4 linked regions of the Drosophila melanogaster genome follow. The gene in region 3 interacts genetically with the main gene of each other region. Each region holds a gene or a part of one and is shown on either strand. Other genes may lie near its edges. The genes, in order: stet, Sos, Krn and S.

Evidence for each region.
Region 1: of Krn (region 3) and stet, changing one suppresses a phenotype caused by changing the other (phenotypic suppression), as found in Drosophila melanogaster (one study listed by BioGRID).
Region 2: of Krn (region 3) and Sos, changing one suppresses a phenotype caused by changing the other (phenotypic suppression), as found in Drosophila melanogaster (one study listed by BioGRID).
Region 4: of Krn (region 3) and S, changing one enhances a phenotype caused by changing the other (phenotypic enhancement), as found in Drosophila melanogaster (one study listed by BioGRID).

What each region holds. Positions count from the first base shown.
Region 1 is NT_037436.4:1,485,452-1,492,122, reverse strand, and holds the start of stet (stem cell tumor), read left to right. Parts: upstream 1-2,575; 5' UTR 2,576-2,671; intron 2,672-3,077; exon of another isoform or gene 3,078-3,217; intron 3,218-3,291; exon of another isoform or gene 3,292-3,384; intron 3,385-3,615; 5' UTR 3,616-3,706; coding exon 3,707-3,877; intron 3,878-3,932; coding exon 3,933-4,025; intron 4,026-4,093; coding exon 4,094-4,117; intron 4,118-4,187; coding exon 4,188-4,364; intron 4,365-6,671. Other genes in the region: CG12084 (uncharacterized protein), read left to right, coding at 1-139, 205-369.
Region 2 is NT_033779.5:13,811,123-13,820,419, reverse strand, and holds Sos (Son of sevenless), read right to left. Parts: upstream 6,605-9,297; 5' UTR 6,207-6,604; coding exon 5,115-6,206; intron 5,062-5,114; coding exon 4,704-5,061; intron 4,642-4,703; coding exon 3,719-4,641; intron 3,655-3,718; coding exon 2,806-3,654; intron 2,744-2,805; coding exon 1,853-2,743; intron 1,785-1,852; coding exon 1,151-1,784; intron 1,086-1,150; coding exon 1,042-1,085; 3' UTR 596-1,041; downstream 1-595. Other genes in the region: CG16888 (uncharacterized protein), read left to right, coding at 7,186-7,695; CG16865 (uncharacterized protein), read right to left, coding at 7,786-7,941, 8,063-8,368, 8,434-8,594, 8,655-8,775; Adat1 (adenosine deaminase, tRNA-specific 1), read left to right, coding at 8,970-9,297. UniProt on the Drosophila melanogaster protein: Promotes the exchange of Ras-bound GDP by GTP. Functions in signaling pathways initiated by the sevenless and epidermal growth factor receptor tyrosine kinases; implies a role for the ras pathway in neuronal development.
Region 3 is NT_037436.4:17,648,242-17,657,026, forward strand, and holds Krn (keren), read right to left. Parts: upstream 6,040-8,785; 5' UTR 5,751-6,039; intron 2,386-5,750; 5' UTR 2,292-2,385; coding exon 1,638-2,291; 3' UTR 1,321-1,637; downstream 1-1,320. Other genes in the region: Ndfip (Nedd4 family interacting protein), read right to left, coding at 200-1,003; CG7484 (uncharacterized protein), read left to right, coding at 6,447-6,485, 6,541-6,659, 6,977-7,355.
Region 4 is NT_033779.5:1,073,931-1,080,299, reverse strand, and holds the start of S (star), read left to right. Parts: upstream 1-2,484; 5' UTR 2,485-3,465; intron 3,466-6,369. Other genes in the region: ast (asteroid), read right to left, coding at 1-1,179, 1,235-1,675, 1,732-2,265.

The sequences.
Region 1 (6,671 bases), about 16 Mb from region 3:
CGCCATTCAGCGGTGGAACATCAAGAGCGAGCGGAACATCAACTACCGCAGCTTTGAGCCGATCCTCAGCCTGGTGCGCTGCTACGAGACGCCCCAGTGCCAACATTGGGCTGTTTGGGCCCTGGCCAATCTGACACAGGTGGGGGAGCAATTCCTTTTCCCATTGTTGGTGCATTGTGTACTAACTTCTGCATTCCGTCACAGGTTTATCCCGAAAAATATTGCAAGCTGGTGGAGCAGGAGAACGGCATCCAGATCCTCAACGAGCTAATCGAGCACGAGAGTCCCTACTGCGAGATCAAGCGCATCGCTCGCCTGGTCATAGAGCAGTGCGACTCCGGATCGGAACGCATGGTCGTCGACGGCTAAGCGGATATTTAGGATAACACGTAGCTTTAGGAGTCGAGTTTGTTGTAATGTTTTTTTTCTGCTTCCTCTGTTTCCCGTTTTAAAGCAAGTGCATGTGTTATGTGGTTCAAGAGATTCTTCCTTGACTTTTATGTTTACAGCGAGAGCAGCAGATACATAGATGCAAGTTTAAACTATGCGAGAGTTAAGCAACTAAATCTAATGATGCAGAAATATTCGATAATTACATAATTACTAGATTATATATGTATATGATGTATCACATGTTGTAAGCCAGCGATCTTTTTAGGCCTTCAGAAGTGTAAATATTGTTAAAACCGGAAAGAGGAAGACATTGGAGTAGCAAGCAAGGCTGCTGGAGATTAAATAAATCCTTAAGAATTGAATTCCCCGTGGATCGATAGTTCTTTCTCTAGCCACATAGACGAGTGTATGGAATCTGTTCTTTGAATTGTGGTCATCATACGATGCTCACTTAACCCCCCCACATTTGCTGTGCTTTCGCATCACGAACCCAAGTAGCTGCAAGTTCAGGATCGGATCGTTCAAAATAATCTAGCTATATAATCTAGACCACTAGGCTAGGCTTAAGCAACTGTAAATATATTGCAAGTAACAGTTTTGAAAGTTCTGCGCTTGGCATTAATATTTATAACAGTGTACGTTACCATTAGTTACCTTACATTACGTATATACATATATATAATTTGATTCGTAAGCGACATCACGCCTGTGTCTTACCAAAGACCCTAGAATAACAAGATGCGTAACGGCCATACATTGGTTTGGCACTATGCAGCCACTTTTTTGGTGACGGCCAAAATTACTCTCTTTCCGCTCACTCCCGCTGAGAGCGTAAGAAATCTAAAAATATAATTTGCTTGCTTGTGTGAGTAAAAACAAGAGACGAGAACGCGTATAAGTGTGCGTGTTGTGCTAGAAGACGATTTTCGGGCCAAAATCAATTCTGATCGAAGAAACGAATTTACATGGTACATATTAGGGTAGTTTTTGCCAATTTCCTAGCAATATGATAAAATAAAAAAATTTTTAAAAATTCGCGCCCTGACTATTATAATTTTAAAGCTTTTTTAAATTTGTTTGTTAAAATCGCCGCTTGAATTAGCTACCGTTTACACATTTATATTTATGTTTAATTCTAATTTGTCTCTCATCTGACAATTTTTTAAAAGCGAAATATTTTTTTGAAACACTTTTAATGTTAATGTTACATCATATTAAGTCAAATGATTTAATAAATATACTAAATAATTAAATATGCAATTAAATTAAATTGCAAAAGTAATATCAAAGACAATAGAATTATTCTAGTGTCTTTGCTTTGTTCCACGGCCAAAAAATCGTGTGCCAAAAAATCGTATGGCGTTACGCATCTTGTTATTCTAGGGTCTTTGGTCTTACACTTTCCTTACCATCCAAAATCACACGATTCTTACAGTGGAACTTTTCTTAAGTTTATTATTTCTGCTTTTGATCGATTAAAGTAATTTTTAAAAATATTTTGGTACAGCTCTTACTCAAATAAAGCTCAGGAACTTCCATTTAACTTATCTATTTGAAATCATTATTTTTTTTTAGACATCATTAAAGAATGAATGCATCACACATTTAAGAAATCTGTTTTTATCATATTTAAAACGGATTTTTTGAGTTTAGGGCTAGAAAGTTTTCCAAATTAAAAGTTTGCTCTACAAAATACATTCATTAATTCGACTTCATTCATAAAACATCATTTCACAATCGCAACTTTGTAGCACAGTGTGGAGTGGAGTGTGCCAACCAGAGCTTTGTCTTCATCATATGTATGTGATATGAGTAAGTTTCAATAAAGCTGCATCTCCCGTGCAGTTTCATTCATCAAGTTTTCAGCAGTGAATCACTAACTAGTATGAAAACTAGTGATGATTTTAACATTGGCATTCCACGGTGCAAGTCGCGGGGTGTGGGGTGCGTAGCCGCTGTTATTATCGAAGTGCAGGGTATGTAAACATTAGGGGGTGTGAGTGGCCAGCTCTGGAATTGCGTCATGCGCCCCCTCGCAGAGCGGGTGGGTGGGCGCAGGGGAGGAAGGAAATGCCAACGGGTTGGAAATGCTTTCCAAGCTGAGCGCATGTGCCGTGGGAATCCGAATCCCCTGCATCCCCCAGAGAGACACTCTCTCTTCTCAATTTTGGCAGCTCTCCTTGGTCAGTTGTCATTTTGCCGGCGGAAAGTTCGCGTGTTTGTTTTTGCCTGGATGTAAATGTGCAATAGTTTTGCGTTCGCGGGTGCAAGCAAAACGGTAAATAAAAGTGAAATAAATGAAATAAAGAAAGCCAAAGGCCAAGCAGAGAAGCGCAAGCAAGAAAGTCCTGTGAACCAAATAGAAAGCAAAACACACGGGGGGTAGCAATCAAGCCAATTCTCCTTCAATGGAAGGAGAAGAATGCGCATTCCATTCATTCGCTAACAAAACCATTCAATCAATGCCAATTGCCTAGTTTAATTCAACAAAATGAAAACAAAATTGTTCCGGCAATTGACGAGGCGTAAACAAAATGCAAAACAATTGTTTGCCAGCCGGATTCTGCGCAGTGTGCCTTATATTTCCAGCAGGATCAATAACCTTCTTATCAGCGGAAAATAAGGGAAAACGACAACAAACCGTTGACTTGGCAATCAAAACAAAGGGCAAAAGCAAAAAGGAAATTTGTTTGCCGGCCATGAAATAGACTATGGTATTGAAAACCAGCAGCCTATGATTATCCGGAAGTATCTCTCTGGGCCCGCGGAAAGTGCAACAATTCTAGTAACGTCAAATTGCAACAAACTGATTTCACAGGCCCCCCCAACCCCAACAAACAGAAAATCTTAATTTCTTTTCTTAAGAAAACGAAATGAATGAATTATTTTTTTTATTCATCTCGACACAACCTCGGCGGCACTCGAACCGCCACTCGAAAAACGTGAGCACGCGTGAATCGACATCTCAGCGCACTCGACCAAATCGGTGGTGGAATTTATGTCGTTCAAACTGAACTGCCTCCAAAAGAGCTTTTGAGTTAAAGAGATTGAAAAGCTCTGCACAGTGGATCCACTTGGCGAATTTCGAAAACAAACATTTTAAAAATATATAACAGCTATTTACTTTTTTTGTTTCAAATTATTATTTAAATTTCTACAATATTGGGGAATAAAAGGACAGACAAGTTCGGAGCATAATACTTGATAATTACTTTTCCGCAGCTGAACTCTAATCGCTACAAACACTGCCAAACCACAACACAACGATCCGCCCTGATCCCAAAACCAAATCTGGATAGCCAGGAACAGCAGGATGTGGCCCGGCTCCGAGCGAGGAAGCTCGCGGGCCCTGGAAATCCCAACCAGCCAGCAAAATGCCGGCGGTAGTAGTCAGCAGGAGACTCTGGCCGACATCGAGCACATATCCACCATTGCCGGCTCCCTTGCCTCCATTGGATCCCTCTCGCACACCCAAATGCGCTATGTAAGGAGCCGGAGTTGCTTGTAAAGATCGTATCTCTAACTCTAATTACCCGCAGCAATGCACCAATGATGCCGGCTATGATACGGAACACACGTCCCTGAACTCGGACTTCGATGAGGCCGAGCTGCGACGGGAGCTACTAAGAGATGTGAGTTCCAATACGAAAATCCTGAACATTACTTATTATAATTCCTTCTTTCTTCACTTTACTTACAGAAATGGAAACTGCTCTTTGACATGGTGAGTAAGCCAACCCAAAAAGGAATACTTATAATTATACTTATTTATAATTACTTTTCACGCTTTGCAGTTCGATCCCGAGGGTTTTGGCGAAATATCAGTCGAGGAATTCCTGGAGGCCCTCAAGTCGCCGGAGTTCCTGTCCCAAGTGCCTATGAACAAGCGGGAGCTGCTGCTGGAGCGGGCAAAGAAGGCGAAGCTGCCCACAGGACCCGGCTACGTGACGTTCCAGGACTTTGTGAATGTGGTGAGTGTGCCGTGTGCCGCAATTACAATCGCCGGTGGTCACTGGCCAAGTAACCAAAGTAACCAAAGTACCCAAAGCACCCATGCCATGCGTATATTTGTCCCGGGCTGCTCATCAACGGCAAACTCGATTTAAGTGCAAACACAGGTGCAAAGTACTCACCCAGGACGAGGTCCAAAGTGTAGGCTCGTGTTCAAACAGACGGAGGACAAGGCCTCGTCCTGGCAGGAGCCGCACTCTTGTTTGGCAAATGCAAAAAGTGCGCTTGGCAAATAAATGCGCCGCTTACGCTTACACTGCGAATAAAAGGGGGTTACTTACTTTTATGCTAGTACCTATGGACACCTTGTTCCGGAAGCAGCAATGTATTTGAATGAAATACACTGCGCATTAAGTTATTTGAAGGATATACCAAGGACATCGATTGTAGAAAAAGTTAGACCATAGTTTTTCTGTATGTAAGCCCACGTCTCGTTTGCTTCCTTCGCCACGCTTGGCCAGGCATTTGAGTGTTTGTCCTGGTTACCTGGGCACTGGCTATTTGTCCTGATGTGGTCCGAAAATACTACCTTGGACTTGAGCTGTGCAACTGGAGGGGAGTGGGCGGCAGAGGTGACTTCTGCGAGCGAATGAAGCGCTTTTCTCGGCTTTTCCTTTGATTGGCAGGGCAATCCTATTGCATTTTGATTGATTCTACCCAGTTGATTGGCACGCACACAAACCGCACACGACAAAACACTCATGCATAATCAATTGCACAGTGAATATTCCTTCGCCTTGGCCGTTCGATTGTTTGCCAAAGTGTCCTTAAAGTCATGAATTAGCCAGGCCGACGTGTCCTCATTTGCCCCTGTGTGTGTGTGTGTAAGTGTGTGAGTGAGTTTGGGCAAAGACACTAGAATAACAAGATGCGTAACGGCCATACATTGGTTTGGCACTATGCAGCCACTTTTTTGGTGACGGCCAAAATTGCTCTCTTTCCGCTCGCTCACGCTGAGAACATAAGAAATCTAAAAATAGAATTTGCTTGCTTGTGTGAGTTAAAAACAAGAGACGAGAACGCGTATATGTGTGCGTGTTGTGCTAGAAGACGATTTTCGGGCCGAAATCAATTCTGATCAAAGAAATGAATTTACATTGTACATATTAGGGTAGTTTTTTGCCAATTTCGTAGCAATATGATGAAATAAAATAATTTTTAAAAATTCGCGCTCTTCTTATTATAATTTTAAAGCTGTTTAAATTTGTTTGTTAAAATCGCCGCTCGAATTATCTACCGTTTACACATTTATATTTATGTTTAATTCTAATTTGTCTCTCATCTGACAATTTTTTAAAAGCGAAATAATTTTTTTGAAACACTTTTAATGTTAATGTTACATCATATTAGGTCAAATGATTTAATAAATATACTAAATAATTAAATATGATAACTGTTTATTGCAAAAGTAATATCAAAGACACTAGAATTATTCTAGTGTCTTTGCTTTGTTCATATCTTGAGGCACGAAATGCGGACACAAGCACTCAACAATCATTGCCTTATTAATTTTTCACACGCCGCAAGATGAATACTCTAATGACAAATATTCTTATATAAAGTCATGTTTGAAATTGATTTTTGTGATAATATGTACATAGATTTGGCTTTTTCTAATCTATTTTCAAATAATAATAACGTTAAGGCAATGCAAAACAAGAATTTTTCGCATGGTGCCAATTGATAAAAAATAATATAGATTTAAAGTCTAAGAACTTCTACGGTGAAGGGCATATTTTGTCAAATTTACAATGCATGAGCATACGTGTGCACACATAAAGTTGTCTGCTATCACTGTATGCGTAGAAAAGAGCGGTTCGCTGTAGCGCTCTTCGCTCTCTCGCTCTCTAACAAAAATTCGAGAGAGCCTGGAGCCACCTCTAGAGCCACGGCCAAAAAATTGTGTGCCAAAAAATCGTATGGCGTTACGCATCTTGTTATTCTAGTGTCTTTGGTTTGGGTGTGTGCCTAACGGTAATTGCGGATGAGACCCGGGCCATTCTTTGCACAATGGATTTCCATTCCACATTCCCCCGGCGAGGACATTATTAGGTCCTTGTTTGGCCTGCTAATGCATTTGTTATTCCAATTGAGGGCTCCGTTTCCCTCTATGTCTCTCTCTCTCTCTCTCTCTCTCGCCTTGGCGAGCCATTCATATCTTTGCCAGCAATCTGAGATCCTTGTTGCCATCGTAGACAACATATTTCCACTTAATTATAAATTGCAATGATCTGCCGGACACGGGAGGGCATATTAACCAGGACCTG
Region 2 (9,297 bases), on a different chromosome or scaffold from region 3:
CTGGTACTTCACCGAGGATCCAAATCGCTGCGCCATCAGGTGACACATCGCTTTTTGGGGACGGTGGCTGCTGCACACACATAACTCCCCCAAATAACTGACGATAAGGGGCTGGACACGAGCGTGAAAATACGAATATACAAATATACGAAAATAATTCAAAAAAACAACAACCGGTTCCCAGCGGCGAGCAGCCCAAAATTTCAGGAAGCATTTGTGCTCGACGTTCATGACGTTTTAGAAAAGCGAAAGTCAATCCGCGTTGTTTCCAATAAGCGAATGTGTGTGTCCAATTTAATTGCACCTAATGCAGTGAGACAACAATCGCTCTAGTTTTTCCTAACCCACCGAAACTAATTAGCCATATACACAATCTTAATAATGGCTGCGATTATGCTGGACACTGCGAGAATGTCAGGTGTGTTGCAGTCGGATGTCGGTTCACGTCGACTTCATCAAGGCCACTGGGCACATAAAGAATACCCACGATCTTTAAACGTTGGAAAAGCCTTGATAATCTATGCTATTTGCTCAGATTGCCTTGACTTTGGCTACAATACTCTATATTTCTGGTCATCGAAAGATGTCGCCAAGTGTCTAACAATAGGGTTATACTTTATTGTTTTACGTTCTACGATCAATACAATGTTCTCGATATTTACAAATATTTATAATAGTAATTATATAATAACATAATTTCTTGTTTGCATTTCTTGTTGGTTGCTTGGTTGCTTGCTTGGTTTGTGTGTCCTGCATTCCTATCCATATGCGCGTGCCTGTTGTGTGTAAATGAGAGCGTATTTTGTCTGTCTGTCTGTTCTACCTTGTTAAATGAGTGGCGAATAATCTAAATCAGCGGTTCCAACTCGTTTCATACTAGAATACATAAACTGCGCCTACGTATATATGTATATATATATATATATATCTCACGTTCCGTTCTCTCATATATATATCTGCACTCAAGCAGTGCTCGCAACTTTGAATCTTACGGATCATACTCGTAGTTTTCGTCCTTATCACATCGCCAGGCAATTTAAATTATTCTTCGTTTGTACTTGGGTAAAGAAACATCGTACCTTTATCTGCAAACGGATAGGATGGTTGGGTTAGGAAACACGTTATCACGGGCCGAGTTGGTAGCACTCACCTGGATTGTTATAGAAGTTAGCGCTTAGACTAGGTTTTGGTGGAAGTTTGGGTGTGCCCTCGAGGCTCGTGGCAATCGGAAAGAACTCCTTGGGGGACGAGCGCGACTGCGTCGGATTCGAATGGTGCTGGTGCGGATGGTGCGGCAGATGGGTGGCATGATGTTGATGGTGCTGCGAGTAGATCGCTGGATGCGTCTGCTGCTGCTGCTGCTGCCGCATTCGCAGTTGGTGGGCATAGCTGCTCGACGTGCTCTCCACCGGATGGCTGGGAATGTTGGGAGACATGGGCGACATGGCGGGTGTCAGCGGTGATGTGGTCGTCGAGGAGCTTGCCGCTGGCGAGATCGGTAGCGGCAGCGGTTCGTCCGTCGCCACTGCCTGCGACACGGTCACTAGTGTCGTGCTGATGGGTCCCGCCGCCGCCTGGTTTGGCTGGCTAGTTGCCGCTGCCCGCTTCTCGATCGCCGAGTTGCGGCGTATCATAATACTGCTGGTGTTGGGCAGGAGCAGACTGCTGTTGCCCACAAACTCCTTGCTCTTGCCGTGGCTTTGTCGCAAGTAGCTGATGCCCGTGGAATGGTTGAGCCGTGGCGGTATCGGCGGCGGACTGAGTTCGCCATCACGCGGGGGTAACTGCAAGGATACGTAAAATGATTGCTGTCATCTGCTACTACAAATTAGAAGTAAGTGAGGCTACTTACTGTGGGTGCGTCTGGCGCCTGACGCTTTTGCGCCATGTCCGCACAGCTCTCAGTGCGCTCCTTGCGTCTGGGTGGCAGTGGAGGCGGCACTGCTCGGTACTCCATATTGGTGGCCATCGGAACGTTGACATGCGGCGAGATGGGCACTGCCCCCGGCTGTCCCTGATGGGCACTGTTAAAGTAGAATCCACCCGCGCAGAATTCCTCCCCGCCCGATGTAGACATGCCTGTAAGGGTCACGGTACTGGCAGTGCTATGCGTTGGGCTGTTCTGCATGCGCCCATGGAATGGTGATCGATTGCCGGTTTCGTGACGCGGACTGACCACTAGCTTGGGCAGCGGCGACGGTGGAGCTTCCGTGTCCGATGCGAATGGATTGCTGTCCGGCAGGGACTGCGGTGGCAGATGCTCCGGCAGCGCTGGACTGAACACAACATCCATTGCCGACGCACTGGCCAGTGTCGAGTTGTTGTTAGCCCAGACATGCGCGCCCGGTTTCTTGGGGAGATGTGGCGCCGGCACCGAAACCTCCCCGTTGTTCTGGTCCGTTCGAGTGTGCTGTGGCGTTCCACTCCAGCTGCTGGTGTTCCGTTCGGGTATAATAACAGGGGCGAAAACGGAGAAAGCGTGCGGATTGTGCTGCGGACTTTGCTCGCCAGCGAGAGTTCCAGATCCAGCATTAGCTGCTGCTGCTGTTGGCGCATCCATTATGCTGGAGGCGTGCAAAGATGGCGCCGATGCCGTAGCTATTGAGGTGGCCGTTGACGATGCTGCCGCTGCCGCCGCCACGGACGACGTGCTGTTCGACAGCTTGCTACTGCTGTTGGTCTGATTCTGGCGACGCGGCTTGATGCCCGGCGATTTGAGCGGAATGTGCGGCCATTTTCGAGGCTACGAAAGGAAAATGGTTAAATTTCCTATATGACTTGTAAACTTTGAAGCATTATACTTACGAATTTCGGCACTGTCTTGCAGCCCCTTGGCTCAATGCGCAGGCTTTCGTTATAGAGATAGTCGGACATCTGTTTGTCGGACAGTCCGTTAAACGGATCCAGTTGCTCGAAGAACTGTCGTATTGTGGACTCCTCGTTGAGGCAGTATGGCTGGTTCTGGTACTGTTGAATCTCGCCAATAATCTCGGCCACTTTCCGTCGTTTGGAAAAGTTAATTAGCTCTGTGTTGGCTAGCAGGTCGGGGTTACCCTCCTCCAAGTGGAGTATGTTGGTCAAGTAGCGACCGAAAAATGGCACACAAGGCGGATTGATGGATCGCAATCGCTCCTGATACTTTTTGAGATGATCGTCGCTGAGCTCGCGGCATTCCTCCAAGAATTTTCTGTAGCGTTCGGGCAATCCCTGGAATGTCCACCGCAGTCGATAAACAGATGCCGTGCCCATAGCCGCGACAATCGAGAGGATTCCATTAAAATTGTTCAATTCCAGCATCACCATCATCACTTCGATTGCGCGTTGCATAATAGCCAGGCGTTCCTCGTAGTTCTCCGCTTCGGTGATGGATTTTTCAATCCAGCGGGTGACGTTCGTGGTGTGCTTCATTATCTTCAGTAGATTAGGGCTCTTCACCTCCTTGTCCTTTTTCGTCCAGGGTGATCCGACCAACTCAGACGGCTTTACATTCTTGTACATCTCGAATTCCAGTAGAGTGAGCTGACGGGCCAGTTCCAGTGGGTGCAGGGTGAGGAGCGTTATCTCGTCGTTGGGTACACTAAGGTGATGCTCAATGGGCGGCGGATCGTGGCCATAGGCGTATACAATCTTTTTATTGCTTTTCTCCTGCTCGTTCTGTAAATAATATTTGAAAAATGATAACGATACTTCCACATTATGCTGTTGACCAACTACTCACCTTTCTCTGAACAATCTTAAGCACGGAATCCACCCACTTGCGCATCGATTTGCCATTCACGTGCTCCAGAAAGTTCAGCAGCTTCTCCAGCAACATGGGATCCTTCTCGAAATCGTAAAAATGATGGTCGACCCAATGGCGCAGTACGTTGAGCACTCGAAACTGCACTGGCTGCACGTACTCCTTGCGATATCGTTTCCAGTCCTCGCGATGCGAGTTCTTGTGCTCCTTGTCACCGCCAACGCCGCCCATTCCACCCGCACCTGCTGTGCCCGTGTCTTGATAGACCAGGCTGGGATCCGGTATGTTAAAGCGTTCCACCAGCAGTTGCAGCAATTGCTGCGGCGAGCAGAAGTAGCGATATGTGGTGAGGAAGGTGCGCACAAAAGTCGGATCGGCGTAGATGTGATAGGTGAGGCGCTCGATTAGCTTGCAAAGCGTCGCTCCCTTGATCATCGGCACTCCTGCGCTTTCGCGCTCCTCCAACACGATATTGTCACCGCTGTCCGGCACCGCGAACTTGTAAATCTCCGGACTGGGCATCCGCAGCGGATGCTTTCGCTCGATGTCTTGCAATATGCTGTCCAAGTGCCGGTCCAGCATCGACTTGGTGATAACCATCAGCAGGTCTGCCATCCAGTCGTGCTTGTGCTGTGCATTCTTGGCGGTCAGCACAATGGGCGGCTGCATCCGGGGTGCCAACTCAAAACTGTTCTTCAGATCATCGCTGTCCGGTCGATCGTTGATATCCACGCGTCGCATGAAATACTTCTCCTTCAGTCGGTAGTCGTAGGCCGTTGCTCCTGCCGATGGTGTTTGTTTCTTGGTGTTTGCCTTGCATAGCACCATTAGCCCGTCGAAGAGGAATACCTTGCGCTCGCTCCAGATTCGTTTTCCCGATCCAAGTTTGCTCAGCGAATCCTCTGTAAATTTGAAATACCATTTTAGTTGGAGGATGCAAGTAACTTTCGTTGCCAGCACTTACCGCGAATAAATTCATTGCAATTCTGGCCCACGTCCTTGTCCTCCCAGTGCTCCACCTTCATTTGGAGCTCCCGTGTCCGCTCGATTGCCAGCTGGCGGCGCACTCGACCGCTAACCGGAACTTGTCGCTCCTTGGACAGGCTGGCCATTACCTTTTCGAGATCGCAGTGGAGTGGATGCAACAGTCCCTGTACCTGTTCGAAGCTCTCGATGTCGTCCTGCGAAGAGCTGAGATCCTTGAGATGCTTGATGTAGTCGAAATACACGAAGGCATGGCAAATGGGCACCAGAAGCAGCTTGGGCAAATAGTATTTGACCGCATCGCGGAAGCCATGGCCGGCTGTGGTCAGAGATGAGGCCTAAAAGCAGGGATTTTAGTAGAATTCTTCGCACAGAAGGTATCAATACTTACCCCTGGCTTAGACAGGAGATTGTTGAGAGCATCCCGTGAGGCCTGCGAGGTAACGTCGTAGGCGTACTTCTTGTACACATCGAACTCCTCGGCCTCGGCCAGTTCCTCAAAGCAGCTACCGACGCAGGGGGCACTCTGCTCCTGGGACATCTCGATGACGTCCTCCAGGGAGCCGAGCAGAGTGACCGTCACCTCGTAAATGTCCATTATGTTGGAGAATATCGGTTCCAGCTCGCGCGGATCGGACACGATCTTCACCAGCTCCTCACGAAAGACGCGTATGATCATGTGCAGGTCGCGTTGGTACTGCTTCTCGTCGTGGATCAGCTCCTTGACCGTCTCCTCGTAGGTGGCACTTGCACGCTGCGCGGGAAGTGACAGGGGACTGGGCAGGATGTGGGCTTCGCTCTGGTTGAGCATGTCCATTAGCACACGATCGGCGTTCATCACCACCTCGATGTCCTCCTTGGTGATCTCGCAGTGGGCGATCTTGATCACATAGTCGCCGGCCATTTTGAGTATGTCCGCTGAGATGTACTCGAGCACGGCCACCAGGAAGGCGGACACGGAGCTATCGATCTTGTACTGCAACACATCCTTCTGGAGCAGCGTGTGCACCTTTTCCGTGGGCAGGACAGACTTGCGTTTCTTCGAGTTGATCACCTCCTTGGCCTCGTTCAGGGCCCACTGATCGATGGGCGCTGGAAAGGACTTGTTCACCTTCTCCTCCACATCCTGCACGGAATGGGGCAGCGGCTTGGCGCACAGCATGGCCAGAAGCCGCAGACAGAGTTTCTCCACATACAGCAGTGCGTCCTCCTTGGCGGTAACCCGTGGATGCACTTGCTCCAGCACCTTCTTTAGCGATGGCGTAAACAAGCCCCTCCATCTCGCAGCATTCTCGCACTTGGTGAAGTCATAGCCATCGCAATCCTGCAGCCCAGCCACGCCACCGCCGCCAATGCCAATACCACCGCCTCCGCCCTGTGAGCCACTACCACTACCACCGCTGCCGCCGCCGCCTCCAGTGCCCAGACCGATCCCGCCCCCGTAGCTAATGGTGTGGGCATGGCCGCTGGGCCCCGAGAACATTCTGTGCGCCGTGGAGTAGCCGACGAGAGCCTGCCGTGGAGCACCTTCGTTGGCCGCCTGCCCTCCGCCTCCCCGCCCGCTGTGTTGTGCACTGAATCCAGCGACGAGTGGAGTGGAGCGGAACCTGGAAACTGGAAACCTGGAACCGTGGGGCACCTGGCACAGCCGGATCACCCGGGCGAACGTCGCATGGCAGTCACACACACTCAAGCGCACGCACTGAACTCGTTTCGAATCTTGAACGGGGCTCGCGCGTCCGTTTCGTTTGCAAATCGCTTGGGCTTCAGCACTTGTTTTCAGAATATGTATCTTCGATATATATATGTATAATATAATCTTCAACTCAATATAATATTTTTCGCGGTGTGACCAGAGTGCGGCACTGCCTAAATCCAGTAAATGCTCGCGACCAGCCCTGATTCGATGCTTAAGAATGTACTAAAAAATCCAATGTAGAGAGCATTCGTGTTGAATGGCTTTTTTAGCAGAAGAAGAAGCATTTTGAATTTAAATTGCAACGAGCAGGTTTAAAATATATTATAATTTACCCAAAAAAAATGAATTTAATTATCTCTTCAATGTTTATATTTCAAGAAATTTATATTTATATTTATAAAATGTCTTTCCTTATCTAAAATCGTAAGGAGATATGCAACATACATATCGACTCATCCCTTATTTTACTTGGATAATGTAAGATACATCCGCTTTCAACGCTTCTAAATCGAAAACAAGTACAATGTGTTCAGTTGAAACAATTAAACATATGAAAGCAATGCAATGCAACAGAATACAAAAACCAAAAACAGTTAGGGAGCTAGCTTCCAGAAGTCGAAGCTTCTATACCCTCGTATAATTATATATTTGAAAAACAATCCATCCAAAAACCATAACTATACGGTATATAGTATACATATACACATATATGTACACTTTTACTTTGTTGTCAAATTTTCAGTGTATAATACTTCAGGTTTCAATGTCCGCTTATAGATTGAGTTGCATCGGGAACGCGGAATGGGGACCCCATACCTCCAATCGTTCCAGCTCACTATTCAACTCGGAGGCCATCGAACAGTTGCGCGATAAGTGGACCCACTTCTTTTTTAACCTGCCAAAGGCGCCTCTCGAATTGCAGCTGGCCAAAGCCCGAGCGAATCGTGCACTCGAGCTGGTCAGGAGCAAGGAGAAGGCTGCTTTGGAACGGACCGAATCCTCGCCAAGAAGTAAGTGCCGTCCACTCACTGCTCTGCACAACTCGCCGCGTACCACGAATCGAATGAAGCTGATCATGGAGACTCGCGTGCGTCCAGCGATCGTCAAAAAGTCAAAGTCGGAGTACAATCTATGTCCCAGTTGTGGGCTTGTCAAGGACTCGATTCTCAATCACCAGCACGCCGAGCAGCGACTGAAGAAGCTACTGGCACAGCATCCCAGTTTGCTGCCAAAACGACAGCATAGAAGGTCAAACTATTTGCGTATGCTATAACTAGATAAATTGCAATTTTTCTTCCAAGAATGCCAGCCATTTGTGTCGTCAAATATATTTAGTTGTGGGTAATAAGGAGGCAGAGTGTGACTATCTTTCCAGTAGCGTGCCGCGCTGCTTCTTCTGCGGCGGAGGTGCGTCCTCTGTCTTGGTTTTGATGCCCACATCGCTCAATTTTCCGCCTTTGCGCTGCAGTTGCTTCTCGATAATCCTTGCGTTGTTCGCATAGCTGTCTGCGATCTCGCGCTGTTTGAATGAACAAAAAAAATGGTTAGTTTGAAAGAGTTGTAGGTTTGTTCGTAGATGATGCAATGATAGATTGGATTTCCTGCACCATTTACAAACCAACTTTAGCTGACAAACTTACCGCCTCGATTTCATCCTCCTCCTCGTCGATGGTAGACACCGTGACCGAGCTGAACTTGCCCATGTTCTTCGTGTGTCTGGTGACGACGACCTTCTTGCCACTGGCATCCACAATACCCGAATCGTCTGGACCGGCGGAAGTCGCTGGCTTGGCAGCCGGTGCCTTGAAACTGCCCTTGATCTCCGAATTCAGCAGCTGTGTGAGAGGACTCTCACCCTTGTTGCGGATTAGGGCATTGGACATGACGAAGGTTACGTGGGAGTCGGGACTGTGGCGATAGTAAAGCGGCAGACTGCAGCTTCGGCACTGAAGGTTAAAGGAAAACATTAGGTGAACTAATGACGGGTAAGGAGTGGAAGTCAGCTACTCACCTTGTAGCGGTACTGCTTCTCGATCCCATTGCCCCTGCTCTTGCGTTTGATGTAGACCATCCTCGGTGTGGGATTGTGGGTGAGTTTGTTGGCATGGTCGTTGGCGTTTATCACACGGGCGTTGTCCACCTCTCGTAGCGGCAACTGTTCGAGGGTGCAATCTGTAGGATAGGCAAACATGATGTACTATGCTTTCAGTTAGTTGGCTCCAGTAATCTTACCCAGAATCAGAGCCATCTTGTTGCACAGACAGTAGTAAATGTTTAGCGGCTTTTCCTCGTTGTACTCCTCCTGATCCTTGGTATCGGAGCAGACGATACTGCGCGACACTACTTTGGGCATGGTTATTTGTGGGTTTCGGACTTATGAAACTTATAAAATTAAAGTAATTTCCTATTTCATTAAACACCGCAAGTAAATAAATAAACAGTGAGACCAGAGTGTGCAAGCAAAAGGTAAACAATGCAACACGCCAATCGATATTGCTATTCGATTACCGAACTTATCGGTTCGCACATTTGCGAATATAAACAAAAATGTGTGATAACAAAAAACCGACTGTTAAGGAAATTGCGGAACTTTGTTTAAAAAAATTCGAGTCCTTGCCAAAAACAGGAAAGCCCACAGCCAATCAATGGACAATTTTGGCGGGAATCGTGGAGTTCAACCGGAACACGGAAGCATGTCAACTAGTTTCGCTTGGATGCGGAACAAAGTGCATTGGAGAATCCAAACTTTGTCCCAATGGCCTCATCCTGAATGATTCCCATGCCGAGGTGCTGGCACGTCGTGGATTTCTTCGCTTTCTATACCAGGAGCTCAAGCAGGATAGAATCTTTCATTGGAACAGCACGCTAAGTACGT
Region 3 (8,785 bases):
TGATTGACTAATACATTTGAGGGAATACTTTCAAGTCCATAGTGATTTCGAGAACTCTGCAAAATAAGTTCGCGTTGATTTTTCGTGTGCTGGGTCTGGGGAATAGAGGGTGTTGGGATCGGTTGGTTGGTAGCATTCGAGCCTCCTAGCCACCCACAACGTATTTACAAGACGACCACTGGAAAGCCTCCAGGTGCACCTAGTAAAAGAATAGCAGCCGTTCCTGGGCAGAGGCGGAAAGGAGGCGCCACGATCGCTTGATGCTGACATACTGTATTAAAGCGCGTATGCTGATCAGGAAGCCAAAGGCACAGATCAGCCACCAGAGCCAGGAGTTTTCGTGCGAGGCCAAGTCCGTCGAGTGCTTCACGATCAGCGTCCATTTAGCCAGCGACAATCCGAATCCCGACAATGCTCCATATCGGGCGGCGATTGTGTGACAGAAACAGGTGAGCATCAGGAAGCCGATCCAGTTAAACAAAAAGGCCACAATGAAGGCCGTGATGAACATGATGTCCGTGCCGAGCAAGTTGTCGGTGGTGGACAGACTATTTTCCGGATCGCTGGCATCGATGGCGATGAACGTGAGTGCCGGCTGGGCAGATCGCACAGCAGCGGCTCCATCGCGCAGCGGATTTGGCGGCAGTAGCGGATTCGGCGGCGGCGGTAGCTGCTGCGAGGAGGGTAAAGTCAAAAAGGCGGGCGGCAGCTCTCCGTTCAGCGACTTTTCCATTTGAACCTCCTCGTACGTGGGCAACTTCCCGTGTATTTCTGGCGGCAGTTGTGCATTCATAAGGTCCGCCTGGCTCGGCAGCTGCACTTGCATCTGTATCGGGATCTGACTGGGATCGGGTGTGGCCAAGGCCAGCGGTGGCATCTGAGCCGGCAGTGCTACCTGCTGGCCATGGCCAACGTTCGCCTCGTACGGTGGCGGAGCACTGAAGTCCGCCTTTGGCGGTCCCAACTGATCATCCCCGGGAGACGGCTGGTTGTTGTGCGGCATGACTGGAAATTACAAACGGAAAACGGGAAAATTAATTCAGTGCTTAAGGGGTTACAAAGCATATGAATTTTTTTGACAGCCTAAGGTGACGTCTCAGAAAAGAAGATTCTTAAGAAATTCTTTTCTTTCTTACATACTAAATTTAAGATATCCTTATTTTCGTGTAGCTTAACAGATCAACTGTTTAGTATTTACATGCATCTCTGAAATAAAAGGAAAATCAAGGCCATGGTGAATTTTGTGCAAACTATTCCCAATCAAATTCTAAAGGTATTCGAAATTTGCATTATCTAAATTGAAAGTAAAGCTGGTGATTTAGTTCTCGCTTTTATTGACGATATTAGTTCACGCGTTTTTTTTTTTAATAAAATTAGGTGTATAATAAATAAATGGGCGGCTAGCTGCCAAAATTGCATTGAATTATATCTAGATTTATTTTTATCTCTCTCTGAGCAATCAGTTTTCGTTCGTTAATACTTGATCTAAATGTGTTATAGGCACGTCAGTAGGCACTTAGAACTACGGCATTCGCCATCTCAATCAGATGGCAAAAATAATAGTTTCGTTTAGCAGTTAAAATAAACAGTTGGACATGTTAGACATTTAAAAACAAATGAGCAGCCAGGCTAATTAGTTAGCGCAAAAGTTCGTTGCAATGCCTGGGGCGATTGGAGGCTTTCGCTTGAAGGTGGGCCTCCTCCAGCGATAGGATGCGGCAGGGTCCAAAGGGACGTCTCACTGGACGTAAGGGTCGCAAGCCATCCACCTCGTCCATGCCCTCGTTCTGACAGCCACCGTCGGTCGTTGTGGTTGTGGTGCTGTCGTGCAGCTTTTGTTTTTGCAGCTTCTCGTGTCGCAGATACAAAACCACACAGCACATGGCCATAAACAGAAGGGCCAGCGTTGCTCCGCTAACAATGCTGGCCTTCTCTAGCATCACACGGTTCCTGGTTGGCAGGTACGAGCCATCAATCTCCTTGTACTCGCACCTCGGACCCATAAATCCCAGCGCACATTCGCAGTTGTATAGGATTTCATTGTGGATCTTCACCGTAAAGCAGGTGCCATCGTTCAGGCAATACCAGGCGACATAGGTCGGTGGACAGGCGAAGATCGGGAAGGTGACATTCGGTCTCGGCGTTGTGGATATTTCCACATTATCCGGCGGCAGGATCGGTGCAGCTGTTGGCCGCGGCTTAGCGATGGCACGCGAGGAACAGGCGGCGGTGAGCGGTAGGTAAGCGCCGATTAAAGCGGTGGCAAGCAGCAGCAGATCCTGGGCTCGCATCTTGATCTTAACTCATGGCAGCTTACTTGGGAATGTGGCAATGCAGTTTAAGGTGTTTTGTAATGTGGAATTCTTGGCTTTGGCTGGCAGGCGGCTGCAAAACAAAAACGAAGTGCAATTAAAAACAAATCAAAAATGTAAGCTCGTGTTCGGGTCTGTGTGGGTTAATTGCCTGCCTAGCACCGCCAGCCGCCTCCTTCTCACAATTACAACCTATGCTCCTCGACCTAAGTGAGAACGAGAAACAGAAAATCGAATTTCATAAATTTTTAACAAAAAAATGACATCGTTTATTTACCTGGCCGGAATCGCGAGCGGAACCCAAGCGGCTGTGGCATTTGCACAGCCTGCATTCATTATCAATTGGTTTTTCTGTTTACACTCTCACTTAACATAGCGAACACTTCAGGCACTTCAATATATAAAAACTGTTTAATACAAGATGTATTTAAACGTATAAAAAATTGATTTAACCTTAGGATTTCGAAACGCCTTGTTATAAACAAGATCTTTTCCGGAGAAAGAATGAGCTTCATTAGAATGTAACTGATCCCGTTGCGTATATAAACAAAATAATTCGAATGATCAACAGAAACAACGATGTTGAGTAATTCTGCTGAAACAAATACATCATTTGTAAGCAACATTTGAGTGGCGACCATTTGAGTGGGCGTAAAAAACATAAACAAATTAGTGCTCGCCTTAGTTGTGATCCACAATAACAGTGTCGTTTTCAGAAACACTAATTTTCGGAATTCCACTTAACGTAAATTAAAACTTTCTAAGTGCTTTCAATAAACGCTAGTCATGCCAACTTAACTGTCTAAATTTATATTAGGAAATATGTCAGTGAAATTGAACTATTTTTTTATTCAAACATGCAATATTACATTATTAATCAAAACTAAAGTTATATTCTTCTACTTGGAAGTGAAGGAAAGAAGAGCGAAACAGTTGCAATTATAATAAATATACACTTCGTTTTAAAAAGTTTTGCTTTCGTCACCTGTTTGGATGTTAGCACATTAAATCTAATATTTGTACTTTATTTCAAACAGTCAATTATATATAAGATAGCATTTAGCTTTTATTTTCTAGGACTCTCGTCACTAGTCGGAATCTCAATCCACAGTCGCGAGTCCTTGGACTAAACCGTGTCCAATTGCTTTGTAAAGCTCAACGGAGCCCTAAGCCCCATAAAATTTCCCCTTTCCTCCCATCACATGTGTGGCACGCACCTACGTCTAAAAATAACAACAACAAAGCTCACGAGTGAAAGTTGACAGCTGAAATGGCAGGAGAAGAGTGCGAGTGCGAGTGCGAGTAGGACAGTGCGACAGTCGCAAAACACAAATGCAATTAAGATGACCTTTCGGTCAATTGAAATATAAACGGAGCCAAACGAGCAAAACAAAAATAGTTCAAGCCAATAAAGAAACTGCGTGAGTGGGCTTAAGTTGGCCCTAATTTCTGCGAGTGCATATATGGGTTTTTTGTATAGTTTTTTTTTATATCTGTGGGTATGTGGGTGAGCCGGACGTAAGCTTGAATAATGAGCTAATAGGCGCCAACGAGCTAAATGAGCACCTGGTGGCTTATCAAAAATTGACCTCACAAACAGCAGAGTACACAGAAATAAATTTTGATATCATATATGATATGATTTTTGTATCAGAATACAAAAGACTTTGGTTTCATATGCACTCAATAATTACTTTTGTATACACACTTTAAAATACTTCAATAAATATAGGAAAACATAAACAGTACTATTTGTATAATTAAATTTAGAGGTGTCCAATTTTTTTCGTGCGCAGGAATATCTAAAATCACAGTCAACACAGAGAAACCGTATTGATAAGGTGACAAATACCATCCACAGGTGCGGAAAGCAAGTGGATGCTAGGCAGTAATTACAGTTACCTGTGGATGAGTCAGATGTGCGGGCATTTGAAAAATTGCAAAATTGCACGAAACCGAGAGATTGCACATTGTACAGTTGAACTTATCTGCGTTTTGCCAATACATTTGGTAATATCATTTTAAATAAGACTCTATAGTGACACACAAAGATTTGGAGGATTTCACAATCAATCCCAATGTAAAGCGACTTTGCTCATTCTTATTTTTTAAGAATTCACTAACAATCGGGCTCAAGTACACTTATCGTTAACATGCTTCAAAGCTGGCATATAATTATTTTCAATGTAATATATACATATAAAAACTTAGGTAAGGTTCTCTGGAAAATACACTGGTTTTTCCATTGAAAAACAATAGATGTTTAAACCGAATAAATCGATTTGCTTTTAATGCGTATGCATTCGGCTAAAAATAATTTTTGAATCTTTAAAATAAATAGAAAAGCTTTTACATTTCTAAATGTCAACACATATGGAATTACCTTTGAAACAGATGAGAAATTTTGTGCAAAATATATACATATTTTTTTTTAATAATTCCATCTGGATTTGTAATTCCAAAAGTGTTTTTGTATCTAACAATATACAGTATTAAAAAAACAGTATTTGGTATCTATAGAATAATATGTGGTTTGTCATAGCCAAGTTTTACTGCGTATGCGTGTATGTAAAAATAGGATTGGAGAGGGAGTTAGAGCTCTCGAGAGGGAGAAAGCAACAGGGCCGTGACAAAAGGCGTTGGAAATTAGGGAATTGCCGTGGAAAAGTAACAACGCAGTTTGGGCCAGGTTTTGGGTTTCAGCCGGAGTTTGTTCGGTGATAAGAAATTTGAGCGCGTGGACAGCTGCCAAGCAGCAGGTGTGCGCAAGGGAGAGGGCGATAGAGGAGGCATCAGTGGAATAAAGCATAAAGTAAACCAGTTAAACGGGACCGGGAGCACAAGAGAGAGGATGAAGATGCAAGCGGAAGAAGCTGAAGAAGATGCAGATGGAGCTGTCTGAATGGAAGGTCTCTCAAGGGGCAATTTCCTGGATTGAATGAAAAACACACAGGCACCGACAGCTGCAGTGGTATTGCAGTGGAATAGAGAAAGAATAAGATTAGGAGCGAAGAGGGGAGGCGGTCGACTGCGAGAACGAGTTTCCAAGCAAACGGCGCTTGTTGTTATTGTACAAGGGCAAATGAATTAATTTACTTGAGTAAATATGAATTAAATAAACAAGTACACCGACACAGGGGTAGACTTATCGGAGTGTGCACTTTTTTTTTTAGCGTTTAGCACCTGAGTGGCGAAATCTAGCAGAATTAAGATTATTAATGTGCTAAACAAAACATAAACACATGTACACACACAAACGCACAACTGGGGCTAAAGTGCTGAGGAGGGGGAGAGAGAGCCTTAAATCTCCAGGAGTGCTCCTGTAACGGTTATTTGTTTCCCTTTCTTCGCCCTTTCTTTTCACGTCTATTTCTGTACCCGATTTTAATTCGATTTGATTCTAGTTCGCCTTTTCTATGCCATGTTCTATTTATTCACCTTGTTTTCTTCTATGCGTTGGTCGATTGCGATTGCGTTCGCTTTTCTCTTTTGCGCAGCGCTCTCTCACGTTTCCGTTTTATTGATTTTGTTCGAATTTTGTTGACTTGTTGTTGCCAAACACGCACACAGCTAATACTGTTGGTTTTTTGGCAGAACTGCGACAGTAGGCGTTTCGCTTTCAAGTGGCTTCACTATACGCAATTTAAATAATTTAAAACTGGGCTCACTTCGCGAGCGAAGCGAAAAAAACAAATGCACCACCACGAATAATCTTCGATTTCTGAGCTAGTGGTGGCCAGCTGCTGGGCAGTCCGTATCGATTGTAGGGATGTAAGCGTGATAAGCTATCGAATCACATGAAATTAGTTATTAACATCGGAAAATAAACTTGCGTACTTGAATATAAAAACCTGAAATTATTTTGTACACTTTTATAGTGACAAAAGTTTCAAATTGCTGAAAAAATATCAAGAAATAATAATAATAAGTTTATTAAAGCTGTTCAAAAGTTTGATTAATTGTCTAATTCATAAACAGTATACGGAATACCCTAAACGATGAAAAGACAAGCAACCCGAATATAATCGATAAGCCTAAATAATGTTATTTTCCCTTCTACTCATCACTAAGCTAAGAAAATTTTGTAAACAACGACGTGGACGTAGTAAATTTAATTAGAATTTAGCCACAAAAATGCATAAATGTGCTATATTTCTTCTACTGGCTTTAAGTGTAAGTTATGTCTGAAGCTAAGACATGTTTTTAATATATATTTTATACCCTACAGTGCCAGCAAATTCAAGCCGAATTGACGGCCGCCGACTGCCGGGCGTTGGGTTTTATTAAGGCCCAGTTAATGTGTTCCAGTTGCGAAAAACTGGATGATTTCGGATTGGATACCATCAAGTGGGTTCAATAACATTTAATTAATCTAGCTTTGGAGTTGTAAAGATACCCATGAACTATGCTATAATCATTCCATAAGAAGACCTGAAAATTGTTTAATTAATATGTTAATCTAATTAGATCAGGTTAAATTTCATACCTCATTTTAAATATTCCAACCAAAAATGCTTAGCTTGACTTAGTAAGCTCCTCCATACCACTGACTAAATATGATTCTTCCTTCAGTTTTTAATAACAAAAATTATATTAACTTTTTATAGTTTCTGCTTGAGCCCATTGCTCTTTTTTATTCATCCAAAACATTTTTAACATTTCAGGCCTCAGTGTAAGCAATGCTGCACTTTGGATCAGCAGCCGGCGGCACAGCGGACATATGCCAAGGCAATTCTGGAGGTGTGCACCTGCAAATTCCGGGCCTATCCGCAGATTCAGGCCTTTATTCAAAGCGGCCGACCTGCCAAGTTCCCCAACCTGCAGATCAAATACGTAAGAGGACTGGATCCCGTGGTTAAGCTCCTAGATGCCAGTGGCAAAGTGCAGGAGACGTTGTCCATAACCAAGTGGAACACAGACACTGTCGAGGAGTTCTTCGAAACGCATCTGGCCAAGGATGGTGCCGGCAAGAATTCGTACAGCGTGGTGGAGGATGCCGATGGAGATGACGATGAAGATTACCTGCGAACCAACAGGATCTAAAATAAGCATACCCAAAACTGTAGATTAATAAAATCCGAAACAAAACTATAGACCGTACCATTTTCTTTCAAAATCATTGAATATTTATATTTTGTTAAATATATTCTGTTCAAGAACTAAAAATGTGTAGACGTGAGATTAGTACTCCAAACTTCTGGGATGTCAAGCCACTGAATTTAAAAAATATAAACATCAAGATCAGGGATATACATAAAATTGGCTTGTAATATGAGAGATCTAATCTAACTAAAGAGATTTAGTTTTTAAAAGTTTTTAGAGCCACTGCAAGGTGGCGTGAGCTTTTCTACGCGCCACCGCGGAAAAGCTGTGGACACAGTTTGAGAGTAACTGACAAGCCAGTTACTGCAATGCGACGCCGTGGGAGTTTTCGATTCATAAGTATAAATTAAATCATTTTATTTGTTATCTTGTTATCGATGGCAAAGGAAAGTTCCCGGCTGAGGCAACAAATTCGCGGCATTGTAGCCGAAATTCTTATCGCAAAGACATCACACCACACCACACCCCCCCCCCCCCTTTGTGGCCGTCAGCAGTGACGTAGTGGGCTCACATGGTGGGGGTCCTCAAGTCGATCAATATTTGATCAGCCTGCTGGAGTAATTGTGGTAACTGAAACGGCAAACAGCATATTTCTGCCCGCCAAAATCGTAGCTGATGTCTATTTCCGATCTGTGACGCAGCCTTGACATCGCCGTCTTTCCGCTCTCTTAATCTTGTTTTTATCCGGATACCGCGCATGATCAAACAGTTCCTAAGTCAACCATATATTCATATAATAATGAGATCGGTGCTCTTAGAAAATATCACCAAAAAGTAGTGACAATTTAATAATAATGTCTTGCCTAACACTTTTACCTTAATAACTACTTTCTACTTTGGAATACTTGGATCAAATGTTTTTAAAGTGACATGAACTGCAATGTTTGATATCCTGACAAAGGGAGATATTTATTAAATTTATTCAAGTTGGGCTTGGAAGATCTAAACTGTGAAAAGCTTAAAATATTGTACAATGTGGATTATTTTATAGCTGACCTCCATAAAAATGTCTTAAATATAAATAGTATTGCAACGTGCAGTTTATTTGGATGCGATGAATATAAACAAATACAAGAGTATTTATGCAAGTAAACGTCTAGCTTTATTAGCATTTTGAAAAATGCATTACAAATTCTATGATGCTCCTACAACTGATTACAGCATCACAAATTCGAAGAGCAAATAATATTGTTTATAGGCCCACCGCACTATCGCCTGTTTACGTTTCATTACAAGTATACACTGATATGCATTATTAATTCTTATTTGCTGTCCTTGTTGTTAGTTATTGCAATTTAAGGCGGCTACAATGGGCTGTGGTACCTCGTCATCGAGAGTTTGGCGAATGTTCCATCGTCCTTGCACCACTG
Region 4 (6,369 bases), on a different chromosome or scaffold from region 3:
TTGGTAAACCACAGCCTGAAATTCAGCAAATGCGTGGATAACCGTGGTGGAGTACAAGTCAAACTTCTTTTTGAAGATCTCCTGCATATGGAAGTGCGGCAGTAGGCGTTCCTGAGTTAAATAGCAGTCCGATTTGGGTACATGAGCCATCCGATCTGGAACAGAAAGCTCTAGCAGAGCAGGTTTGATGCCGCGCTTAATTCCCTCGGCAGCTTCCTTATCCCTCACTGCTCGCTCTGCTTTCAATGTCTTGCCAAATCTTTTAAGGAAGGTTTTCACCTCTCGTTCAGCAGGGATTGTAACATCTATGGTTCGTAGGACAACCAAACTAAGGATCAGCGAGTGAAGATGCAGCAAATCACAGTGCTCCGAGCGATGTAACCAGTAGATAATGGCCAGAAAGTACAGCCTCAGGTCCTCCGGCAACTGGTCGAGCTTGCTGAACAACTTCTCCGTATCCGCATTGGGAGCATTGTCTTCGAATACAGCTCTTAAATGCCTAGCATCCGGCGAAAGAGGATCAAACGGATAGGCAGGCTTCTTTTCAATGGGCATCTTGAAATACCTCACGTTCGTCACTCGCAGAGCTCTGGTGAGGTAGGTGAGATAGGGGACTGTCGAACCCTCTATATCCATATCCACTTCTAATGGTAGCTCAATTTTCTCACACTCTACGTGATGGAGAAGAGCGAACACGTAGTTCAGGATGGGTAAGGCCACTTCATTGGAGTCGTGGAAGGGAAAGTGCTCGATCTGTGGGTTGTTGATGTACTTGCGCAGGTGCATAAGGTCCACGAAGCTGCGGGGCAGGTGCGCGGGATATAGTTTGTCCAGAAACCATTGTGGGAAGAGTAGCGTTTTGTCTTCCACTTCCAGCTCGAGGCCTTCATCCGCCTCCTCTTCTTCTTCATCACCCGAATCAACGTCTTGATTTTCTTCCTGCTGCTCCTCATCTTGGTTATCAGCTTCCTCCTGATCCTCGCCTTCTTCGACATCTGAAAATTTTTCATCGGAGCTAGACGAATGTTCATCGTCGCTGCATTCCTCTTCACTGACGGGTTCTATATAAGGAAAAGCATTCTCGTAGTGCTCATCGAAGTAATCGTAGGCGTGGCACAACTCGTTGGAGTAACCAGAGATGGCTGCATTCACTTGGGAGACCAGGGAATCACGCTGGTTCTGCAAGAATATTATTTTTAGCATAAATCGGAAAAAGATATCTCAAGCAACGAACCTTTTTCAGTCTCGACAGCACTTTAGCCAGAGCAGATTCCGCCGTTTCCTCCTTCAGCCATGTGAGGATGACCTGTATGCGCTTCTGCTGGAGCTTTAGTTTGCGACTTCGTCCTGCTTTGCCCATTCCCGCAGCAAAAAAGTTCTTGAAGGCACTGCGGGCAATATAGTCATTGCCCAGGAGGGCGGCAAAAAGGGGTAGCTTCTCGGGACTCAGAGTTCCTCGTCCGCAGAGATGGGACACCCGGTAGATGCAGCAGTCGAGGTACTTGTAGGTCTTGGAACTGCCTTTTGTACTGGCTGTCAGCCCTGTGGTTTGAATGCCAGTCACAATCTTGTTGGCCCTGGTGCGCTTCTTCACATTCTTGGCCTCGCAGTGACGTAGATCTCGACTGTCCTTCTGGTTGCTGCTGTTCTTGTCCTTCACCTGCTTGGTGAGAACCTGGGGTACATGGAATCGCTTAGTATATGCTGGAATCCAAATAACTTATGCCTTACCTTAACAGTCAGCGTGATCAGCGGGATGTACTTGACGTTGTGGATGTAGAAATCCGAGTCGTAGGAGAGCACTGGGCAGTTAAGTTTCCTGGCCAGAGCAGCCAACTCGTCGTCCGCCTCAAAGACGCACCTCATCACCGGGACTCCGCAGTCGCGCACAGCGTCCACGAAAACCTCCTTGAGGTGCAGCGGGAACAGCGTGATGGATGCATTGGGGTTTATCTTCTTGATCACGGAAATCTTGTTGCGCAGCCGGGTGCTAACGGTCCTCAGCTTGCGCTCCTCGTACCCGCCGTCCATGAGCACATAGGGCCGAATGTTGCACTCGGCCAGAACCTGGAAGAACTGCACCACGGCGCGGTAGAAGTCGTCGTAGTCGCCGCCGAAGGCGGAGTAGCTCCCGGTGACATCCTTGTACAGATTGCAGCTCAAGTTGTCGCCATCGATGACCAGCGCCGTGGAGTGCAGCTCGTGCGGCTTAAGGTAGATCTCCGCGCGCTGCGCTATGTAACTGGTCAGGCCGCGGACTCCCATTTTCCCGGCGCTTGCCTATTTTCCCAATTTTCTATTTACCTATTTTGCACAAACTTTAAAAGCGTGCTAATAGTGATGTCAGTTTGCAGTGCGATACTATCGATGTACATATCGATTCTTTAGCGTGGCCGTTCGCTGCCGTTTGGTATATATGAGCGATTAGTTTGGTATCTAGGGTATTTCCCGCAGCCGGATGGTATATTCCGGGGATGGCGCCGCGGTCACACTCTGTCCCGACAATTCCAACCCGACGCTTGTCTGCTCTCCACCCGCGCATCAAACGTCGAAAAATCGTAACGTCGCGAGTGCTACGCGGTGGCCAGGAGAAAAATTCGCCAGCAATAGCAACACTTGTACCGAAAATCTAAAGGAAACTGGGAAATGTACTAGCACAAACACAGCGAGTGCAGTGGAAACCGAAATCGCCATTGAATCGAAGAGCGCGTGCATATATACGGGTTCCGTTGGTTCCGTTCCGTTTCTTGTCGCTTTTCTTGCACACACTTTACCACTTTACCTTTGCGTCTCTCGTTTCGTGCGTGCGTGTGTGTGTGCGCGGAGTGTGGTGTGCGTGCGTGTGTGTTGTTTTTGTGTGTTCGTTTAACTAAAGCACAGGTAGAAGGAAAAGCAGCGGAAAAAAGAAAACCATGGGCGAAATATGCATATGAAATTAAGTAAATACAAGGCGACAGCAGCAGAAAACATCCAGTAGCAACGAGAAACAACAACAACAATAACACACGTTAATAACTCAGCTTTGTGCGTCTTTCGTCTGCGCTTCACATAGTATTATTTTTCTCTTGGATTTTCCACACAAAAACACCATGAGTGAGCGAGCGAGAGCGACGATCGTGATCACCGTGTCGTGAATGAATTTTTGTCAGTGTGTGCGAGGCGTGCTCTACGCACACACACACGTACGTAAACAACACAACCACACACGGCCCATCATCGATCACCAATCACCTGTGTGTGTGTGTGCGGCATTTAATAAATAATTGTGTGCAAATAAATGTTCCAAAAGGAAATTGTTAAGCCAAACCAGCAAAAAACGTAAATCAACCGTGCGATAATTCGTCCTAGAGTTGAAAAAAAAAGACGGTTCAAAAGCAAGTGCGTGTGTGCAGAGTTCTTCTGGTGTCTTGGGAGCTTCGTTTTACGGATACGAAACATATATAACTTCCCTCTTTGCCGAAAAAGGTGAGTTCAAAATCAGGGAAAAATCCCTTTCCCATTGGCCAAGGCCGTTCCGGGAAATCTGCGAGTGGTCTTGGCCCACGTTTCCTGTCTTCCGCACATTTTCACACGTCCTGCAATTGCAATTTTTTCCGATTTCCCAACTCTGCACCTCCTGTATGTTCGGCGATTCCCACGCCTCTTTTTTTCGGGGCAGGTATTCGCAGGTAGCGGAAAGAGGAAAAACCCTCGGGAAAGCCGATAAACTAGAGAAAACCTCTGTTGGTGGGCCGAAAAAACCAGAAAAAATAGAAGAATTGAAATGTTTTCCCTGGCTGCTGAAACAGAGAAAATCGGGCGAAATTAGGCACCCGCTGATTCCAGAAAATTGCTCGTATAATAGAAACATCTCACTGGGGGAGAAATAAATTATCGTTATTATCATCTGCAGTTGCAATTTGGCACAATTTCGATATGACTGTGCTCCCATTTGCCCGGCGATTATGTAATTTTCGCCGCTGTGCTCGAGAATCAGGTTCATTTTCCATATGAAAAAGGGGGCTTTGCTGCAGACATTGCATATATGCCGACGATCTGGCGACCACCGACAGTTGCCAGCAATTTCCGGCGCTTTTTGGCAACTGGAAATCGAGCACAAAAGTTCATCCCAGGGCTTAGAGAGCCGCAAAAGGCGTAGCCATCCATATTCACCCCATCCCAAACGCATTTCCCAATGTGGTTTATAGTTTTCCTACAGCTGTTGCGACTGCGATTTTAACGATTTTTACTGGTAATCCGGGGAGGAAGTGAAGTTCATAGCGGTTCGACCAGTTGATACCTCTTAATAAACTGTTTGTAGGGCATTTCTGAAAAGGAAATATTCCAAAGCGAGATTTGGTTAGTCTCAATCCTTAGAACAGCATTGCTCACTTCCTTACACAAGTGCATACTACCCTCGCATACCCTGTAATCAGTGGGCACCATAAAAAGAGTTTGAATTTCAAATAAAATCCACTCTCCGGCACACACACAAGTCCACTGGGGAGCAGCTGCTGTGTGTCTCTTTGTGCTTGGTCTCAAATGACACTTGCCAGCGCTGCTGCTGCATATAATTCCGAGTTCTGGGGAATTTCCTAGTAGGAAGTGCAGGGGCCACAGCGAAAACACCAGCAAGAGTCGCACTTGATGATTGTCTTGCCACGGCTATTGCCGTCCCACTCTGGAAACGTAAATAGAGAGGCCCGATAAAGAGCGGTCTCGAACTTCCCCCAGTTGTGTTGCCTCTAACCCAACTGAAACTGAGTGGAATCGAGGTTTTCTGGCGGCATAAAATTTGATAGCAATTAAGATATTTGTTAGAACTGTTTCTAATGTCACATGTGCTGCGTGTAGGAGTCTCATCCTGCACTATCTTGTTTTTCGCACTTGCCCCGTTCCCATTTCCCGGCTGGTACTCCAGTTACTTGCCGCAATTGACCAATTAAACAATTGTCTTTGATTAAATGTGCAAATTTGTCTAATGTTCTGCACTGCGCGTATGTGCAAAGCGGATGTGCCCGCTTAAAGCTGCGCTTAAATTGCCCGCGTAATTTGTCACTGATCTCACTTTCTCAATTGGCGATCTCTGATTTCTGAGATTCCTGATCTCTGCCTGGCCAATTAGGCGTCATTATGCGGCAGGCAAGAAGGCACCGTTAGATGGAGCCATTGCAACAGTGGCCAGAATAATAACAGCGACTAGGAAATAATGGCTAATGGCCTATACCTTTGCCCATCTAATGCTTCTTGACCTACAAGCCTCCACAGGCCTCTCGCGTTTCCTGCCCGCTTTCATTTACTGTTAATTATTGTTTAGAAAAGCGCGGGGGCGGGGGCCAATAATAATAAGAAGAAGAAAAAGCAGCAGCATTGGCCAATAAAAGCTTGCAAACAATTTCGAATTTCCAAATGGTTTGAAATGCAGCCCAGCTGGCAACAGAGGAAAAGAGGCAGCCAAATCAACCGAAAGGCAACACGGGGCCATAACAACAATCTTGCTCGCACATTCATAATAGGCGAAACAGAGGCGGCCAAAAAAGTAGGACTGTTTCGTACAAAAATATATAGTAGGATCTTAACGAAATGTAGTTTTCATAGGATCAAATGATAATGTACTGTGTTTATTCGCAACTGAAAAATACAAAATATTCTGACCAACTGTATTTTTAGATAACAGCAATATTTGTAACTACTCTATTATTCCGAGCCCTACTGTACGCATACACACACACACACACAGAATCAACAAATAAAGTAATTATTTCCTTTCACATGGCGAGCTACCTCCAAAATCGGAAAGACATAAAGAAGAATATAAAAAGCGGAGAAGCCCCAAGACCCAAAAATAAAATCCAACAAAATCCGCTGTCGGCGTCGATTCCTTTGTTGTTGTTTTGCTGCAGCGGTCCCAACACGTGCAATTGGGAGCGAGCGAGAGGGGGAGAGTAGGAGCGAAAAGAAACTAATAGGCCAGTAGTACGAATCGCAGAGGAGTGAGCAGTGCAGTGGCAATTTTGCATCGATCTCCCACTCAATGGGCAAAAAACGGAGCTCGAAGTTGTGAGTGACATGTGTGAGTGAGGCTCGAAGTGAATGAATGGCACAATCTGTGATTGATTCATGCACAACTAGATGACTAAATTCGCTTTCGGCCCATTCTTTCATATCCGTTAGCTGGCCACTCCTTTTGTCCAAGTTTGGTCAACCAAGTTGGCTCGCTCTTTTGCCATTTAATTGATTCATCCACACCAGCAGATATCTGAAATCTGAATCGATCCCAAAATGACACCCAATTTCACTGTTCTGTGAATGAATACGGTTTTTTTTATCACGTGTATGTGGGTGCGAGTGCGCCATCGTCTTACGTTGTAATTTCGCGACTCTATGTCC